2 linked regions of the Rhinolophus ferrumequinum genome follow. The protein of the gene in region 1 purifies or fractionates together with the protein of each later gene. This does not show direct contact. Links are inferred from orthologs where the notes say so. Each region holds a gene or a part of one and is shown on either strand. Other genes may lie near its edges. The genes, in order: PTCH1 and GRK2.

Region 1 (9,515 bases):
GGGCAGATGTTTTATTTCAGTGTCATCATTTGAATAATCGGATGTCATTTTTGAGATGTGTGTGTCATGGCCATGAATATTTTAAGTATTGGAGCAGAGAATGGAGAAGATATGAGTGAATCATATTTTAAGAGTTTAAGGAATCTGTTTTTTAAACGACAGACTCCAATAAAGTCTTAGATCATGATTGGGAGATCAAAATGACATTTGATGCACTGAGATGAACTTTACTTGGAAAGGGGAAATGGAACACTCAACTGTTGCGCCAAAGAGGGCCAGCAGCTCCAGCTGGTTAAAAGGGCCACAAGCTCTCACTTACTTGGTTACTCTCCGGAGGGGAACCATGCTGCAGAAAGGCCATTAAATGGACCGTCTGTCTTCCTTTGCGGGCCTGGCTCCTCCACTTAGCCTCATCTCAGGTCTGGGGAATCCTTGTGGTTAGTTGAAGTTAACAAACCCGGTGTGGCTCAGCGGTCCCCTCCACTGGGCATGCATATTAAAGGCGACAATGCTTACAAATGTAAATAAGGGCAGATTGGTTAGAAACAACATTATCGCTGGGAATGTCGCACTCGCATGCATCAGCAATGAGGCAAATTGGGGGCAGCCTCAGCCCTGACCACCCAAGTCGAGCAGGCTTCTACACTGCCTCTTCCCTTTCTTAAAACGTTACAGAAACTAGGCCAATTAGATCCTCAAAGTAATTCATCTCTGTGTATGAAAAAAGCAGACCACAGGGAAAGCGGCGGGTGGGGGTGGGGAGATTAAGATAGCGCTTGTTAGAGCCCAGGTTGGGGACCGCGTCCTGGAACTGATTGGTAGAATTTTCAGACCGGGACCATTGTCTGAGATGCTGAAAAGTTAACCTATCAAACAGCGGGTGAGGGGGCTCAGGGCGCTGAAAACCCCGGAGATCAATGTTCAAAACGTTTACGAATTAAGTCAAACCGAGGGAAACGAGCCCGAGTGGAATAGGCTTTACCATTGAAATGGTGCACATGTGGCAGCAGCCAGAACGAGAGGATATGTAGCTGCGTGCCGAGAGTAATGGGGAACCAAGATGTGTGTACATAGCCTATAATTTCATTTTAGAATTCCATAATCCAAGTAGTTATACTGAAATTGCTATAAATAAAAGATTGGGAGGAAGAACTTATATTTTGACCTAAAACGTTGTAAAGAAATTTGAAAAGACAAACATAGCAACCTGTCTATGGCTACATGGTTCCCTTGCCATAAAGCATACATCAAATATAAAAAGACTGACATGGAAAACTAGGAGTACCACCCTCAAGTCTTTAAAAAGTAATTTCCAGCGGCAATCACTAAATGGTTTGACTTGAAACGTCTGTAGAACTATTCAGTAAAACAAAACAAACAAAAACAGATAGAACATTAAATCACCTTCCTGATTTCTGCTATTTATCAAACAATAAAGATCAGAATTTTGCTCAAAGATTAAACTTGCTATGTGTCGAGCCCAATTTTCCTGCAATATTATTTATCAATGTACGTAGTACCATTTTCATTGGACGGTGCTCGTCTTCCCTTCTCGATTTTAGCAGTCTTTCCCAGAGCCGCGCACAAAATCACGTGCTCCTTCGGAGTTTTGAATTTCCGCGCTGGCTGGGTACTCCGGTCCTGATCTCCTGTACACCCTTAGACACTTATTCTCTGTCTCTGTTCTATGGGACACCCTACCCCGCCGCGGGGTACTGCACAATGTTTTGCGGGTTAGGGATTCAGGGGGTAGGGTCTCCCAGTGAGACCAGGAAGGAGGAAAAGCCATAGAGGGAAGGTGGCGAGGCTGGGTAGGGAGGAGAGAGATCCGGGAGGAGAAGAAAGGGGTGAAAGGGAGAGGGAAAGAAAGAGGGAGGGGGAACCGAAGAGGAAGGAAGAGGGCGGGCTGGCCGACAGACCCCCCACGGGAGCCGCGTGGGCCGACCGGGTGGCGGGCGGGCGGCGCTGCAGTCTCTCTCCTGCCCGGGCCGCGGCCGCGGGGCCGCTGAATGGAAAGGGATCCGTGCGCTCACCCATTGGTCAGCCAGGGGGAGGCCGCGCGGGCATTGGCCAACGTAAGGGGGCCGGACCGCCTTCAGGAATGTACTACGGCGCGTCCGGCACGTCCGTCCGCGCCGGCGGGGCGCGCGCCTCCCCTGGGCTCCTGGGAGGCAGCGCTGGAGATGTGGAGACCGCCGGGCACGAGCAGAGCGCACCGACTTCCCTACCTCCTTGACCGGGGCCGCGCGGACGCGGGGAGTCCCGGAACTCGGGCGCGCGCGTAATAGGCCTCCGGACCAACGAGCGCGCGCCGGCCCGGCCCTGGGTCACGTGGCCGCGTGGGCTCCACCCTCTAACCCGCTCCTCCCCCTTTCCATCTGGGTTTCTTTCTTTCCTCTCCTTTCTTCTTTTTTTTTTCAATGAACACACACCGTGTGCATCTTAAAGCCACACGGCCCCATTTCACGGCTTCAGTCGGCTTCTTGCTGCCGTGGGTCCCTCTGCAGTTCAACGCCGTTTTTAAAAAAAGAAGTAAAAAACAAATACTAAAATAATGCAGAATCGAGGGTTTGTGGGTCTGGATCCTATCTCAAGGAAGAACTTAACTTGCAAACGTAAGAAAAACAAATTCCACGGTCCAAAAAATTATTTTTAAATAAAAAGTGAAGCTATGTAGACAGTTTAATTTGACTATGGCCTTAGGACCCACCTCAAAGAGTCGCGTGTTTTCTTCCCCTACGGGAAGTGAAGCCCCGGGATGTCTCGGTGACACTGGCCACAGTGTCCAGACAAGTCCTCGCAATCAGCGCACAATTTGTTTCGATGAATCCAACATCAAAGCCTTTATTCTCCCCTACGTCATGCTATTATTAAATATAACAGGATGCGTACCAGTTTTTGAAGAAGTCTAAAAGACGTTTTGTTTTTAAATAAGGACGTGGTTAATTAAAAAAAGGGGGGGTCTAAATCCAAATAAATCCAATAGTCAAGAAAACGTCTCTTTCTCAAGGAAACAATTTCGGTTCTCCGGGTTGTTAAAAGGATTCTGCATTTTCTCTTTTACATATGTCACATTAAAGATTCAAATAAAAACGCCTCTGCCTCCATGAGAATGCTTCGGTGTCTGGATTCCACGTTTATAAAACACTGCCTCCTTCAAACCAGGACTGTGCTGCCGTGGGGTTTGTGGGGGAGCGGGACGGGGGGGGGAGATGGATTTTAAGAGAGGGTTGCTTTTCTCAACGTCCTTACTTTCCTCTTTAACTTTCCATTTTGTTTATCTTAATGCTGGGCGTTGTTCCCTGCGAGAGCCTAAGTCTTCTCTTTAGTTATAAAAGAGGAGGGAAAAAAAAATCTGGCACATACTGGCGCACTATCCACCACCCTGTCATTATTGGTGCAGGCCTGGGAATTCAAGCCGGACCTCCCAGTATTTGCTGCAGCTTGAGGCCAAGGTGCCTCTGAAAGGGTTTTCTTTGAGGAATTTCAGAAATTGTTTAAGCGCTTAAAAAAATATTACATTTTCCCCCGTGCCTATCGCGAGGCAAATGCTCGTGGGTGTTTATGTGTGTGTGAGTGTGTGTGCGCGCTCAAAAAGCGTCTACAAAAAGAAGACACTGATGAAAAGAAAAGGAATAAAAAAGAAAGGGAGGGAGAGAGCATTCCTTAATGGAAGTATTGCATGCGAGAAGGTTGGCGCTCTCGGAGGCTCCCCCCGAAGCCGGGGATGCACTCACTGGGGTTGCCTACCTGGGTGGTCTCTCTACTTTGGTGAGCTGTTGCTAAGCAGCTAATAATAGTCATGTTTGCTGAGTAATTTCTGCCCTCCGTGAGCCAATCGCGTCGCAGAAACCCAAGCCATCTGACAGCCCCAGGGGCGGGAGCTCCAGCCTTTTTCTCTTTCGCTCGCTCTCTCCCCCTCCACCCCCTCCCCTCCTCCTCCTCCTCTTTCTCCAAATGGAGAGAGTTCTTTTTTTTCTTCTTCCATCTCATCTATTGAATCAAGGAGCTGCTGCGGCCGCTGCCCGCTGCACACACACAGAGCGGAGTCCCCAGGTCCCGGGAGCGAGAGAGGCGCGCTGCACGGGGGCAGAATGGTCCAGCGGGTTGGCGAGGAGCACAAGAAAGCAGAGTCCGGGATCGAGCAGCCACCGCGAGCCCAGCAGCCAGAGCCCGAGCAGCCCAAGCAGCAACTTCAGGAGCCGCCACCGCCAGCAGCAGCCGCCGCGGGAGCAGCGGCGGCTGCCCCGGCCCGGCAGCGCTGAGACCCACCGGGCACCCACGGACCCTGCGGCAGCGGCTCTGCGCTTGTCCTCCGCGACTGCTCGGGCGACCCGGGAGGCGCCGAGAGAGCCAGCGAGGCCGGCGGGAGCGGCGGGGATTTGCTGGCGTTTTCTGCAGTGAAGGGGTCGCGGAGCGGGGCGGGGGGCGGGTAGGGGGAGTCGGGGACCTCGAGGAGCGCCGAGCAAGCGCCCGAAGGACAGGCTGGCTCTGCGCGCCGGTTCTCGCGCTCCCGAGAACTGGATGTGGGCAGCGGCGGCCGCAGAGACCTCGGGACCCCCGCGCAATGTGGCAATGGAAGGCGCAGGGTCTGACTCCCCGGCAGCGGCCGCGGCCGCAGCGGCAGCAGCGCCCGCCGTGTGAGCAGCAGCAGCAGCGGCAGCAGCAGCAGCAGGTCTGTCAACCGGAGCCCCAGCCCGAACTGCCGGCGGCCAGCAGCGTCCTCGCGAGCCCAGCGCCGGGGCGCGCAGGGAGCCCGCAGCGGCGGCAACAGCGCGCCGGGCCGCCCGGGAAACCTCGGTTCCCGCGGCGGCGGCGGCGGCAACATGGCCTCGGCTGGTAACGCCGCGGAACCCCAGGACGGCGGCGGCGGCGGCAGCTGCAGCGGGGCCCCGGGCCGGCTGGCCGGCGGCGGGAGGCGCAGACGGACCGGGGGACTGCGCCGCCACGCCGCGCCGGACCGGGACTATCTGCACCGGCCCAGCTACTGCGACGCCGCCTTCGCTCTGGAGCAGATTTCCAAGGTGCATTTCAGACTCTCTCCTCTCCTCCCACTCTCTCCTCCCTCCTCTTCCTCTTTGGGGTAGCCCCGCCACACACACACACACACACACACACACACACTCACACACCTCTTCAGGAAAAGCAGCAGACAAGCGGGGATTGAAAAATTCAAACCCACCCTCAGGTCCTGGAAGGAAAGGGCTGTCTGAGGTCCGCAGGGGGTGGAGGGGTGTGTGTGTGTGTGTGTGTGTGTGTGTGTGTGCGTGTGCGCGCGCGCGCGCGCGCCCTCCCCAGCGTGCCTTTTCCGGAGCACTGGAAAGCGGTCCACAGTGGACCACCTCGAGGGCGGCCGCAGCGCGGCACTGCCCGGCGCCCCCTGCCTCGGTGCCCCCTCCTCCCCGGCCCCTGCCCCTATTTGCAGCCCAAACCCCTGTAATGCTGCCACATTTCTTAACATCTTGGAGGGGGAGGCGGAGTACTGAGAGGCGGAGAGAAGAAGGGGGGAGGGAGCCGAAATAAAGGTGGTTTCCTTTTTTGGCAGCCGGTTTTGCTTTTGTTGAGCATGAAATCTCTGCTCCCTTAAAAACTATCCTCGGAAGAGGGCATCTCCCCTCTTCTTTTCCAGTTTTTGAGCCAGTTCTTTTCAGAGCCTAGGGGTAAAGGGAAAGTTGTAAACAAATTGCCACCTTAAATCCTTGGTCCGGGTCTGCGGAGCGGCCGGGTTCATTGTGTTTACGAGGCTCGCTGAAATGTGTGGAATCCGGAGAAGGCGAGCACCCAGACGGGGGCCCGCCGGGGCCGCGGCCAGCGCCGGGGAAACGCCGCCGCCGGGAGCAGCCAGCGCCCAGCCAGGACCCCCGCCTGCGCCGGCCTGGGCCCTTCCCCTGTGCACTCCGCTGCTTTTTACATTTAAACCGAAGGGAAGGGAGAGGAGGGAAAGATCCATGTGGCTGCCCTCTTCCGATCACAAATATTGTCGTAAGTTGCAGATGGCTGCCCCACTTCCTAATTCAGCTCACACAGCGTCTCCCAACGCTATGGAAATGGATCCCGAGTTAGCTCCGGTGGCCGCGCTCACCACGTGGATCCCCTTACTTCCACGCCGGGAGGGATCAGGATGGGAGATCCTGCACTACATTGTTCCCAAAGCGCGCTCGCCCCTCAGCCCGCGTCCCCGCCAGGGTACCCGGAGAGGGGTGAAGGGTGGGGCAGGATTTGCAGGGAAGGGAGCGGAGCTTTGCTGGTTCAGAGAAGTTGTGCTCCATCACAGGACTACGCAGCCCCTCCCCTATCAAGTCCCGCGTGGCTATTGCCTGTGTTGAATGATTTCTGTGTTCTGTGCCTCATCTTACCCTTCACGTGTTCTTGCAGCCCCTCCCCCCAGCTCCCCAAGTTGCATTCAGGGATGCTGCGCAGGCCACGCGTGGGGGCGCCCCTGCTGTCGCCAAGGTGCAACTCCCACGCTGCAGCCCGTTTTTTATTTAAGCAGCCCCCCCTCCCCCAAGCCGCTCGCGTTCTCTCGTGCCGGCCAGGGTTCCAACCTCCTGGGCACTATCCACAGCTGTCGCAGGATCCGCGGGCGGGTGCGCGCAAGCGAGCGTGGGCGCGCGGGCTGTGACTCCCCGACGCTTACCACTCCTTTCTGCTTCATCCTCAGGGGAAAGCTACTGGCCGGAAAGCGCCGCTGTGGCTGAGAGCGAAGTTTCAGAGACTCTTATTTAAACTGGGTTGTTACATTCAAAAAAACTGCGGCAAATTCTTGGTTGTAGGCCTCCTCATATTTGGGGCCTTCGCTGTGGGATTAAAGGCAGCTAATCTGGAGACCAACGTGGAGGAACTGTGGGTGGAAGGTAAGAGACCCAGCGCCCGGTGCGGCGCTCTCCCGTCCCCCACCCCGGGCTTCTAGTACCCTTTCTTCCAATTGATAAAGATATTTGCCAGCGTACACCTAGAGCCTTTCGGTGCGAGCGAAAACCCCTGCCTGCACCAGGGGGAATTGTTTATTGTTTGGGCGCCTGGACCGGAGCCAGGCCCGTCCGACAAAGGCCGCGCTGTAATCTACTCGGGGCGCTGCGCTGTGCTAGGTGTTGTGGGAGAGAGCGGCGGGGGCGGGCCGGCGGGGGCGCGGGGCCCCTCCGCGGAATGGACCACTGCATGGCCGGGGGCCTCGGGGCCTGCAGCCGCCGCCGCCGCCGTCGCCGCCCGCCTCCGCCGCGCCCAGAGACGCGGCCACAGGCAGGCCACTCGGCTCCTGGCTCTGGTCCTCGGCTTCCGTCCCCCCACCCCCACCCACCGCGTCCAAAGAGAAAGAAGGGGGAAGGCAGGGAAAGGCCACCCCTCCGGCTGGAGGGAGTGTGCGCGCCCCCGGCGGCCGCGGCCGCCGCGCTGGGGAGGGCGGGGGGAGGGAGCAGCGCGGGCCTGCGGAGGCGGCGGCGTGTGTGGTCCTGGTTTTGGACAGCTTTCAACTCGCGGGAAAAAAACATTTGTCTCAAGGTACAAAAAAAAGGGTGGGGGGATGGGGGAAGGAGTTAAAAAAAAAAACAGTAAAGCACTGACTGGAACGCATGTTTGCAAAGTAGATTAATGTTTCCTCGCGGGTGGGGGCTTTATAAATGGAATTATTCTGGGGAAAGGCTGCGTTTTGCAGGCTGAATGAAGAAATGTGTTTTAAGAACACGGGTTTGGAGAGAGGGGCCACAGGAGCTCTCCAAGGGGTTCTGTCAGTCTTTTATCTGCATTCCTCAGTTTGGGGGGGGTTCTTGAAGTTTTTTTTTTTTAAGCAGTTGTAAATTTAAAGTAGATCCCCTCCCCCCACAAACATTTTACATTCTTTTGGTGATACGGGTTTTTTGTTTGTTTTTGTTTGGGTTTTGTTTTCTGTTGGTTGTCTTTTAATTCTTTTGGGAAAGTGACAGTCTTGCGATTTGGAAGCATTTTAACCTCTAAACACTGCCTTGGGTCTCTCTTAAAATGGGATGGGAGGAAGGGACTTGAGGTAATTATGCAGATATTTCAAACCAGAAATGTGGAGTATTCCTAATGAAAGCTACCTAAGACAAAATGTGGAAGCCTAAGTTACATGCATAATTGATTCCTTTCAGAATGCTGTTGGAGAACTGACCTTGGAGAATATTTTTTGTTGATTTTGCTTTGTGAAGATTCAGCTTTCAGTGTTTTGCAAGCATATGGTAGAGTCTTTAGTTGAGAAATGACAATTAAAATAATAGTGCAAATAATTAAAACCAGAAAACATTCTTGCCTTAAGTAGCTTGGTAATTAATACAAAAGTGTTATTTGGATAGAATCCATGGAGGTTAATTTACCTCAATTCAGCACTTCAATGTTGTTGGTAGATAAAAGAAGGGTTTTAGTCACCATCTATGGTGTCTTAGCAGGAAATTTACTGGGCACCTGTACCATCCCTAGCAATGTGCCAGGCACTGTAAGGGACCCCAGAGCGTGGGAGGCATTCCCTGAGCACAAATTCATGGACTTAAAACTACTCGAGTTAGATGGACTTGCACTAAATTTGAGCTCACAGAAAGTGGGCTGAGAAAGTTAAATGGAAAACTGTGAAAAAAGAAAAGCTTCCTTGGAGGTGGTAAGGCAAACTAGGGTGACCTGGAGAGAGAGGGAGAGGGAGAGGGAGAGGGAGAGGGAGAGGAGGGAGAGGAGGGAGAGGAGGGAGAGGGAGAGGGAGAGGGAGAGGGAGAGGGAGAGAGGAGGGAGTGGAAGTTCTAGGAAGAAGCTCAAAAAAGGAGGTCAGGCAAAGGTCCAAGCTGAAGGCCCAAGCTGAGCAGACAGATGGCAGTGGGACTCCCTCCTCCCCCAGTAGTAATGGGGTGCAGTAGCTCAGGTGGGCCCTGGACAGCAGGGCTGTAGTTTGGAAATGATGTGATTGGCTAGGCTGTGGGGAGCTACCATCCGTTCTAGGACAGAGCAAGGGATGAAATGAGCAGAGGGAACCCCTAGGTCTGTTCACATATTCGCTTTACACTATGTGGTCCAACAAATTTGTTGGGTGTTGGTGATGATGATGACAAGGTCATTTGTTGTTTTGAGGAAGACCTTTCGGTAGACCTTTAAGGAGTTTAAAGAGAAGTACTGTGATTTTATTTTCTTGACATTGTATATTTCTAGAAGCAACAATGTTTCTGCATTATACAACTCATTTCAATTCCTGGAAGGAGGAGAAAATGCTCTCCCAGGGCTCCATCTTAGTAAGAGAGTGTTAGGGAATGACAACCTGAGATGACACTCATTTTGCCTGCTTTTGTCCTCTGAGCTGTTTTCCTCGCCATTTCTGTTTTGGCGGTTTCAGTGTACCTCACTGCTTCTTCACCAAATATTAATCTTATCTACTCAGTACTATCACTTGTTGAGCAACTACCATTACCATTTATTACTTATTGTCACATGCCTTACAACTCAATAAAGTAGCTATTTATTTTTATAACCTGATAGCTTATGTAATATTTATATATAACTGAATTATTGTCTCAGTTTATATG
Region 2 (10,666 bases), on another chromosome or scaffold:
CTCCCATGGCACTTCGAATTCCTTGAGAGTGGGGCTAGTCTTAGCTCGTTCTACCTCCCCCCTTATCTGTCCCAGGAGTGGGGGGAGTATGGAAATTTACTGAGTGTAATAAAAGGTGCGTGTATAAGACGGGGAGACAGGATCAATTTCATGGGTGAGTGACCCACGCAATCAAAAGGGCCCTGAACGCAGAAGGACCCCACACTTTGTTTAATGCTTGCCGTTGCCATCTTGAAATTCTTAATTTTTGAACAAGGGGCAGCATTTCTTTTGTGGTGGGTCCAGCAAATGATGTAGCCAATCCTGCGGGGGAGGGACAATCCCAGCTCTCTCCTGCCCTTCCATGCCAGCAATGTGCTTAGTGCCATTTGAGTGGTCAGCAGGAGCCAAGCAGGCCAGGCACTTCCTGGCTGGGAAGACCTGTCCAGCCGCCACTTTTCCGGGTGCCCATGCCCAGAAGGGAACTTCAACGCTGGACACCCATATGTGGGCAGGAAACAGTAAGAGCAGACACCTGAGGTCCAGGAGCACCTGGTTTTGTTCTTGGCCTGGCACTGTCACCCAGCTTCTGCCTCTGCCACCCAACACATTCGGGAGAGCTACAATCGGCGGGAAGGTCCAGCTGCTAGCCCCCAGAATGTGCCATGAGAGTGCTAGAGAGGCAAGACAGAGAGACAGAAGCAGACACAGACACATGGAGAGAAAACATCCTGAAAAACCCAGAAAAGGAAAGAGAAACAGAAGTAGAGAAAGGAGGAGGGGAGAAGAGAAATGAAATGAGAGAAAAGGACCATGGAGGACTCCTAGAGGGAGACACAAGTGAGACCGAAGATACTCCACGTGTGACAGTGGCCACTCAGAAAGCCTAACAGTGCACATATCTCCGTTAGCCCTCAAAACAATCCAGTGAGGCCAGGCTGGCGACTCCCCGTGCACAGATGAAAAGGGCAAAGCTCAGATAAGTAACTTGCCTAGGACACCCAGCTAGGGCAATACGAGGTGGCACTAGCATTTGACCCCAGTCTTGGCCACACACGTCCTCCAGTCCCCAGACACAGCAAGTACCAGTGGCCACTGTATGGGGCCGGTGGGGGCTACGAGACCATGCCTCGGACACTCACAGGCGGCTGGGAGTGTCAAGACACAAACGCGAGCCGCGTGAACACAGAACGTTCCGGCTCCAGGCTAAGACGAGGGTGCCATGCGCGCTGGGGACGGCTCCCGAGGGTAACGCGTTGCAGAGGCCGAGATCGGCTGAGGCCGAGAGGGGCGGGGCCTGAGGCCGGAGCCAGAGGCGGGGCGGGGCCGGGGGCAAGGGGCGGGGCCGGAGCCAGGGGCGGGGCGGAGCGGGGCGGGGCAGGGTTGGGGACCTGGCCGTAGACCGGGAGGGGCGGGCCACAGGCTGGTGCCACGTCCGGACTAAGGCTCCGAAGAGGAAAAGGATACTGGGGCCCGGGGCAGTGCGGAGACTGTGTGACCTTCTGAAGGGTTCCAGGAAGAGGCGCCGCTCCCGGGAAGCGAGTTGGGCGGAGCCAGAGGTCTGGAAGTCCCGGCCAGAGTTGCGTGCAGCTCATGTCTGCTTGTCGAGGGGCCCCTGAAGGTTCTTGGACTGTGAGGGAGGGAGTCCTGGAGCTGAGGAAGCCTCCTGGATAACCAGGGCCTCCGCACTTGCTGTGCCACATGCCTGGAAAGCTCTTCCTGCCCCTAACAAAGCTGCTTCCTCCCATCCTTCTGGCTCCAGCAAAAAAGCCCTTCCTCAAAGGGCTTCACACGAGGGGGCTCCTTAGCTTTTATAGTACCTTGTCACCTGCCCCATAAGGATGCTTTGAGCATTAAATGTGATCAGTCTGGGCTCTAGAAACAGTGCTCTGCTGTGGGGACAGAGCCCCAAAAAGCAGTTTCCAGGTTCTCGGCCTCACATAGAAAGGTGCTGGCTCAGGTAGTAAATGGCCATCGACTGTGATCAAATGGCCATCAGCTGTGGCTAGTTGGCCGTCAGCTGTAACCAGTGAGCCATTGGGCAATAATATAACTGCCGTGGCTAGGCTAGCAAAAAAAGGGGGGAGCTAGCAAGAAGATGGTGGCTGAGTCTGCAAGCGGCACAGTGAAGGTTGAGAATTGTGTTGTTCCTGGTTCCTGTGTCTCCAACCCAGCCACCAGTGAGAGTATAGTGGTATGACTCTCCTACCTATGGCTCCGTGGGTGTTCCTTTTTGGCCTCACCATGTCCTGCATTCTTATGTGGGGAGTGGGAGCTGAGATCCTGCAGGCCGCCCTGCGTGACATCTGCCCACAGTGAGAACCCAATAAATGTCAGTGGTTGTTACGGTGTGCAGTTTGCCCATAAGTTCACTGTGTCTCCCTATGTTGGATCCTCAAGGCCAAGCACCGGAACCTGGCATGTAGTAGAAGCTCAACAAACAGTGTCAGATGAGTGAGTGAGTGAATGAAGTGAAATCCCAGCATCCATACATCCCTGGTGAGGTCAGGGAAGCAGCCAAACTCATCCTCCTGAATCTTCAAAGCACAGGATGGAGATGAAGAGGGGAGGCCCCGGCAGGACGAAACTTGAATGTGCCAGTCCTCACCCCCAACCTCATTCACATTCATGTGCACACACGTCAAGTTCAAGACCTTCCTTATCTCTCCCCTGCCCTCCCCAACTTTTCCACTGACCCTCCTGGACACCCCACCTCCTTGCATTATAGTTCTTGCCAGGTTAATTGGAGGTATGCATTTAGGGGTTTTCTTCCCCACTGGACCAGGCCACCACTGAATCCTGTTTCTTTGTGCGGCCCTAACTTTGTGCTGGGAGCCATGAGGGGTGCGTAAGGAAGGCAGCAGTGACCACGACCAACAGGGGCGCTAAGGGAGAGTACTCTGAGCAGGAAGCTTTCAGCCCAGGAGATGCAGGGTGAACAGGAGCCTGGCGTTGCCAGGAAGGCAGGGAAGGGTATTCCAGGCAAGGGAAATTATAAAGACCCCTGAGGTAGAAGTGACTGTGGCTTGTTATAGTGACAAAAGGAAGACCAGAGAGACGAGACTAAGGGGCAAGGGGAAGGGGATAGAACTGAATGAGAGAGATGGGCAGGCGGCCAGACGGTGCAGATCTTATAGGCCCTGGGAAAGGGGTGGGTTTTATCCTTAGTGCAGGGACAGTCATTGGAGGTGAGCTTTGATTTAGGCCTGTAAAAACTCTGGCTAGATGAGAGGCAGGATGTTCCGTGAGGAGCCTGGTGTGGACGGCAGCACCAGGTGGGAGGTGATGGGACAAGATCGGGTTCAGCAGGGCACAGTGGAAGGACTGGAAGAAGCCGGGGTATTCTTCAGGGACAGGCTGGATGACAGTGTGCGTGTACATGGTGGCAGGGGCCAGGCGAGGGAAGAGAGGAATCAAGGATGACTCCTAGATTTCTGGAAGATGGAGTAGCCATGACTGAGATGGGGAGGCTTCAGAGGAGCAGGCTGCACCGGGGCTGCGTGTGGAAGCAAGAGCTCAGTGTGGGATGTTTTAAGTTTGCCACACCTATTAGTCATCCAGGGGAGATGCCAGGTAATGGTGTGTCTGCAGATCTGCCAGCTGGGCAGAGATGGGGTTCCCCTCCTCTTTTACTGCCAGCATCCCATCCAGAGGTTGGCACAGTCTGGGCAGGAGACAAAAGTTTGTTGAGAGAATGACTGAAGAAAGTTTACCATCCACCTTCCCTCAACCACCAGAGGGCAGCACCACCCCAAAAAATAGCCTTCCCCGGACCAGAAACTCGCCCAGACCAGGGACCCAACACCACCCTCTTCCCAGTCAGGGCTTCTAGGAGCCGCTTTCCACTGCCCAAGAATCAACGAAGGGCAGCCTGGAGACTGGCTCTCTCGAAGGACCCTAGCTTCAGGCCTTCTGGGGCTTCAGATTGGGCTGTGGGTGGGAGGGGCAGTCTGGGTTTTCAGGTGGTGGGGGGAGGGGAGGACCATTTCCTGAAGCAGGATGGCTGGCATTTGAGAACCACCAGGGACTCTGGTCTGACAAGTTCATCAGGAAGAATTTTTTAAATCAAGGCTGCTCCAGACAACCCAGGCCAGCGTGTGGCTGTAGTCAGAGTCCCAAAGAGCTGGGGAGGGGTGGGAAGAGAGGAGGTTAGTCCTTCTGCTGTGGCATCCTGTGTGCCTCTGACCCTATTCTTCCCCAAACTCCATGTGCCACCTTCGGCTGAGGAGCTCATTCACTCATCAAACATTGACTAGGCCGTTCTGCGTCTGGTCCTGTGGTGGGCTCTGGGGGCAAGGGATAAACTGGAGCGTCAGTTACAGGTGGAGATGGTATGTACCTTTTTTTTCTCTCCATAATTAGCACTTCCAACATCAGGAGGCATTTTCCAATTGATGCAAACGTTGAATAAAGCTTCACCCCATCCCACTGTCAAAAACATGACATGATGCATCTTACAATTGATGATGTTCAAAATCAAGGAGCTAGGTGGTAAGTGCAGAATCACAGATGTACACAGTGGGAGGGGGGTTGGGGAAGGTTACCGGCAGGAAGTGGGTCTTAAGGGATGAGCAGGATCTCACCAGGGATGAGGACACACAAAGGGCTTCCAGGCACAGGGAAGAGCAAAGTCACAGAGGTGAGAATGGATGGGTGGCCTGGCAGAGGGACCCCAGGTGCAGAGGGTGGTGGCAACACAAGCTGGGGAGAGAAGGCGGGCACAGTCATCCAAGACCTTGACTTACAGGTTAAGGAACTTGTTCACTTGATCTGTTTTGGGCAGAGTAGGTGCGGCCTGGAGCTCCCTCTGGCCTGGAGCTCTGCTTGTCCCTGCTAAGCAGGTGGTAACTCCATCAGATCTTAATTTGAGAGAGGCATCTCTAGTCAGGGGCCACATCGGCAGCAGCCATAGGGATCCTGAGAAGCAGCCGGGTTCAAGAAGATTCCCAGACAGAAGGGTGTGGCGCCAGTAGATTAGGGCAGGGGAACAGGGAGGAGTCAAGTCTGATGCCTGGAGCCCTAGAATCTCAGCCCACTGAGAAGGGACCTTGCCAGCTCTGATGTGCTCTGGTTTCAAGCTCTGCAGAGGCTGTTCTCAGAAGGTAGCCTGAGAAGTGCACAGGGAAGGGCTTCCTGCTTTGTAAAAGGGTCCTCGTTCCTGACTCACAAATTGGCAAGAGGCTTGCCCTCCTTTTGCCCAAGATTGAAAGGGAACTTTGTCACCTTGGAAAGCAGAAGCTCTAGAGAAGGGCATGTTGAGATAGGGGGTACTGCTTTGAAACACATGGATTTCCCCTATACACCCCCATGGGCTCTCACCAGAGTGATTTTCCCTTGCTAGGCAGCACTGCGACAGACCCCTGTGCCCTACCAGGATGAGAGCGATTGGATCTCACGTTGTGGAATTATGATGATTCCATCATGATTCTATAGTTGGGTTGTTGGGATGCAAGCCAGGGGCCTGGGACTACAGCTGGTCTAGGTAGGGCAGGGGTTGTTGGTACAGGGTCCTTGGTCCTGAGTGGGAGTCCTGGGGCCAGGACTGGGTCTTGAGCAGGATTGGGGGTGGGGTAAGCCTGGAGTCTAACTACAGTTGTCGGGTCCCAGGTTTATGGCAACCTGTTAAGGGTTCTAGGTCCAGTCTGGGTCATAATTGGATATCCTGTTTCTGGGCCTATTTCCACACTTCCTGGTGTTGGGTCTAGGACCCTGGTCTAGCGTTGACAGTCCAAGACCAGATCTGGGCCCTGCCCCCATGTTCAGGGTTCAGGGTCATGATAGTGGTCTGGGTTTGGGGTTAGAATCAAGGTCTGGGATCAGTAACCAGGATGGGATTGACGTTATGATCAGTGTTTGAGGTCATAGTCCAAAGTCTGGATGTGGGGGTCCTGTTGGGGGTCTGGGGTCAGGTTCAAGGTCTGGGTGGAGTCGGGGACTCTTGGTTGTGATCCAAGGTCATGGTCAGATAAGAGGTGTCCAAGGTTTGGGCTGGGGTCCTGTTTGGAGTATGGGGTCATGAATGGTATTCAGGTGTGGTGTCAGGTCCTCGACTGCGTCCAAGATCAGGGAGTCAGGGGTTGTAGTCAGGGCCTGAGACCCAAGTCCCTGGGATCGTGCGCTGAAGTGCCAGCCAGGGGTCAGGACGTGGTCTATGGCGGAGTCTGGCATCCGAGTTGTGATCCGGGTTAGGGTCAAGGTGGTGACCCCGGCCCGGGGTCGGGGTCCGGGATGGGTCTGAGATGGGGTCTGGGTGGCCTCTGGGGTCAGGCCAAGTCCAGCCCGCGCGGCCTCCAGGGGGCGCCGCCGCCCGCCCGCCCGGCCCCTCGCGGGCTCGCTGGCGCTGTGCGCGGCAGGCGGGGCCGGAGGCGGCGGCGGCTCCGGGGCGCGGGCGGCGGCGGCCCGACTGCAGTCCCGGCGGGAGCGGAGCGAGCCGCGGCCGGGCCCGAGCCGGCGCCATGGGGCGGCGCCGCCTGTGAGCCGCGGCGAGCGGAGCCGCGGGCGCCGAGCGGGGCCGGCGGGCGGCGGCGCCCGAGGCCGACGGAGCGGCCGGGCCGGGCCAAGCGCGCCAGTCGAGCGGAGCGGAGCGGAGCGGAGCCGAGCTGAGCGGCGGGAGAGGCCGCCGCCGCCGCCAAGATGGCGGACCTGGAGGCGGTGCTGGCCGACGTGAGCTACCTGATGGCCATGGAGAAGAGCAAGGCCACGCCGGCCGCGCGCGCCAGCAAGAAGATCCTGCTGCCCGAGCCCAGGTGAGGCGGCCGCCGGCCCCTTGGCCCCGCTCCCTGTCGGGTGTGGCGAGCGCCCAGCCCCGACCCCGCAGCCGCAGACCGCCGGGGCACTGCCCCGTGACCCCTTCTGCCCCAGCCACCGCTCCAGGTCCAGCGGCGCTGACCCGATCCCTGCTCGCCAGGCCCTGTGCTCCTGAACCCGGAGTGTCCCGGCGCCAAGGCTTTCCAGCCCCACTGGCTCCCCACCCGACTCTGCCCCCTGCCCCACTCGGCCTCCCTTTCCCTTCGTGCACTCTGCGGGGCCCTCATCTCTGCCTTTTCCCACAGGGGCCCCACTCCCCTTCGTCCGGCTACCCTTGGTCTCCTCCACCCTCCCCATGGGGTCCCCTCCTCTGCCTCCTAGCATCTACCTGGCCTGACTATATCGCTCATCCTTTTGCTGCCCTTACTCCCAGCCCACCCCCCCCCCACCCCCGCCCCCCGGGTCTTCTGGTCAGCACTGTGTGAGGTTTGGGGGAGACAATAAGTCTTCCCTACGCTCTGGTGGGTCACTGGCTTGGGGTGGCGTTTGAGAGTGCTTTGGTGGTCGGGATCACCTGGGATCACACAGGGTGTGGTGTGTGCCCCTCCCAGTGGGGGAGACACCCACTGTCCCTCTCCCCTTGTATTCCTCCTCTGGCCGGCCCAGGTATGGTGCCCTATGGGTGCTGTTTGCTGGGGGACAGCCTAGCACCACTGCAGCAGCTGGACCACGGCTGCCACCTCTCTGTGAGACAACTGATGTCATTGCACCTGGTGTCAAAGTTTAAACAGTGCAGGATGTAAGTGCAGAAGTATACAGGTACAGATGAGAACTGAGGCTTGTCCAGCATTTTATGGTTTCTAGAGTATTTTCCCATCGTTTGAGCCTCGAGGCCACCCATGGGCAGATAGGACAGGTGTGGTTTTGTCCCTAGGGAACAGGTGGGAAGCTGAAGTCCCAGAGGTGAGTGGCCTGCCCAGTGTCACAGGTAATCCAGGGTGGTGCCCAGCCACCAGATCAGGGCTTCCGGCTTCTAGGTCCACATCGCGTCCACCACTCTGGCCTGAGCCGGGGCCTGGCCGTTCCGTATCTATAAGAGCCGTGTGCCCACTACAATTCTTTGGGTCACATGGTGAGGCCTGTCCCAGCAACTCTTCCATACCTGCCTGAGAGTTGGCATCCTGGTTCCCGGCCAGCCCTGGAGGCTGGGCCTGTCCTAGCTGTTATGGTCTTATCATGTGACTTTGGGCAAGTCCCTTCCCATTTCTGGGCCTCGGTATTCTCATCTGTGAAATGTGGAAGGTATGAAATGAGGTCGTGACTATGTGGTGTCCTGAGTCTTTGAAGCGAGTCCCAAAGCTGCGAGGGGTGCCATGCCGTTGTCTCCGGTGCCCTCCTCGGGGCCTGTTCACTGGGTTTCGGATTGACTGAACACTAGGCCTTGGAGAGGAAAATTGGTCTGCATTTTGAAAAGGCCGTTAGGGCCCCTTTTTTTCTAAGACATTTGCAATCAGATTTCTCAAAACAGGAACCAGACTGACTCTCGGCTGGGGGCTGTCCAGGGAGCAGTGACAGTTAGAACAAAAACGAGTTCAGAAATGACAAAGCCACGAGGGAGGAAACGGGGGAGTCAGCCTCTGGGGCTGGTAACGGCTTTCCTTGGTGGCCAAACCCTTGAGACTCTCCTGTAGGTTGGAGTTCTGCAAAAGGGTGAGGTGGGGCCTTTTCTGGAACTCTCTGCATTTGGGTAATCTCTCCCCAGAATGCATTGCTCCTGATGGGGCCCCGCCTTGGGCCGGCTCTGCAGGTGTTAGCACCCCGAGAAACGAGCTGTTCCTCTTTTCCTGTCCCCTTTACTATCTGTGGTAATGATGGTGATGATGGGAATGATGGTGGAAATTGTGATAATTTATTATCTATTTTGACACCTGTCATCTCAGTTGATCCAAAAACCAACAAGGCCATGCCTTGCGTGTAGAGTTGCTCAAGCCCTGTCAGCACTGTGTGATGTCTGAAACCAGGTAGGCTGTTAGTTTAGGGGAACACCTGGGCTGAGAGCCAGGTGTTACAGGTTCTCGTGTAGGGTCACCATCTGGCAATGACTCACATCTGTGAGATGGACTGGAGCCTCTAAGCAGTGATCGATGTTGGTGAGCTAAGGCCGGGGAAGGGCCAGGGCTGCCCCTAGGAGTCCAGGCCTCTTGCATCAGAGGACATGCTAGCCTTTGCTTTATGCTTCACACAGCCAGGGTCAGATGCCTCCTACCCTGGGAGGCACTCCCCAGTTTGCAAAGTGTTTTTACTCCATTTATCCTTTTCACAGCGCTGGCACAGCCGGTGGTATTCTCCCATTTAATAGTTCGAGTAACTGAGGCTCAGAGAGGGAGACTTGGTCACGGGGGGAACTGGAATCTTAACCCGGGTCCCTGGACTCCCTGCCAGGCTTCATATCCTCTGCACATCCCTCCACACCTCTGCTCTCATCTGTCCATGTTTTGTGGAATGTACCAGCTGGCACCCCTTGTCCGGGGAGCCATGGATCTGGGGAGGTAGCCTGGCAGCAGGGCAGCCCCCAGCACCGTCAGCTGTCCTAGTTCATAAGGCCCAGCCCCCTCCTCGTTGGCTGGGACAGAACTGGGCTGCCCCGGCAACGCTGGTGCCTAGAGGAGGCAGCTCCACACCTGGGGGTCACGTCATCCCCTCACCCATAAGGTCAGGGTCAAGGAGAAAGGCTTTGGTTTGTCCATGACAAGGTGCCATTTGGAGTTGCTTCCACCTTGGGGTGGTCCATCTTGGCAGCCTCCCTTCGGCTGGTGCCCGGGTTGTGGCTTGGCCGAGTCCTGGGGCTGGCTTCACAGCTCTGACTCCTCAGGGTTGGGGTAGGGAGCTGTTGGGCACAGGGCCATGTTGAGTTGGCACAGGGGCCTCCCCTTCTGTCACCCTATAGAATCTGAGGAAACAGACCCATTTCTCCACCTTCTCATGGAAGGAAGCAGAGCTGTGTAGCTGAAAGACAGGAGACTCGGCTTCTAATCCTGCCCCGATACCAGCTCCCATGGGACCCAGGCACGTCCCTTATCCTGGCTGAGACGGCCTCAGTGTTCACATCGGTAAACCGAGGGCTGCCGCTTCACCAGTGACCTCTCAGGGTCTGTGGTCTGAGCCTCTCCCCAAAGGAGCCACTGTTTCCCTTTCCAGCAGCAGCAGCAGCCCTGTAACCATCGCCATTTGCTTAATATGACCATGGAGGCCTCGTGTAATTAATCTCTGGGCTCCTGGCTGAGGAGCCGGCTTGGGCGGTCCCAGGAGGTGCCCCTGCTGTCCCCGGTGACAGTGGCAGCCCCAGCAGCAGATTGTTGGAGCCGGGTGCCTCTTGCAGCCTCCCATTTTCTCGGTTCTTTCCTGGTCCCTCCCCCACCATGGATTTCCTTCTTCCTGCCCTCTGCTGGCTTCCCAGTCTCCCAGACCGGCCACTCTTCCTCTGCTGCTGCTTCGTTCCTGTTAACTCTTTGCCTCCAGAACTTCCTGCCCTTATTTGTGGGGGGAAGGGGTGCAGGGGAACACTTCGTCCCTTCCTCCTCCCTCCACTTCTTCATCACTAGCCTTTATCCCTTCGCCAGAACTTTCCACTCCAGTATCATCGTCCTCCCCACTCCTGCCCCTGAAGACAAGATGACCCTGCCAGCAGTCCTTCCCTCTGGGCCTTTGAAGCCCCTGCATTCCCCAGGAATGGGTCTCTGGGACACCTTTTCCCATCTGTTCTCTTTTCCTGAGCACTAGGTTTCATGTTTTTGTCATGAAAGTTGCTCACCTGCCTGTTTACTGTGGGGTTTGAGCGGACAAGCATGAGCAGGGGAATCTGGGCTCTGTCAACCCAAATCCAGGAATAATGTGTCCTATTAATGGACGATCAATTCCTAGTAGTAAATCCCTGTGATGT

The links.
Region 2: the proteins of PTCH1 (region 1) and GRK2 purify together in Homo sapiens (affinity purification with western blotting; 3 studies listed by BioGRID and IntAct, with this or other methods). This does not show direct contact. The link is inferred for Rhinolophus ferrumequinum from reciprocal best matches to the Homo sapiens genes PTCH1 and GRK2.

Annotation. Positions count from the first base shown.
Region 1 is NC_046295.1:7,891,744-7,901,258, reverse strand, and holds the start of PTCH1 (protein patched homolog 1), read left to right. Parts: upstream 1-4,826; coding exon 4,827-5,024; intron 5,025-5,775; exon of another isoform or gene 5,776-5,982; intron 5,983-6,661; coding exon 6,662-6,854; intron 6,855-7,476; exon of another isoform or gene 7,477-7,497; intron 7,498-9,515.
Region 2 is NC_046294.1:4,933,198-4,943,863, reverse strand, and holds the start of GRK2 (beta-adrenergic receptor kinase 1), read left to right. Parts: upstream 1-6,373; 5' UTR 6,374-6,612; coding exon 6,613-6,725; intron 6,726-10,666. UniProt on the Homo sapiens protein: Specifically phosphorylates the agonist-occupied form of the beta-adrenergic and closely related receptors, probably inducing a desensitization of them. Key regulator of LPAR1 signaling.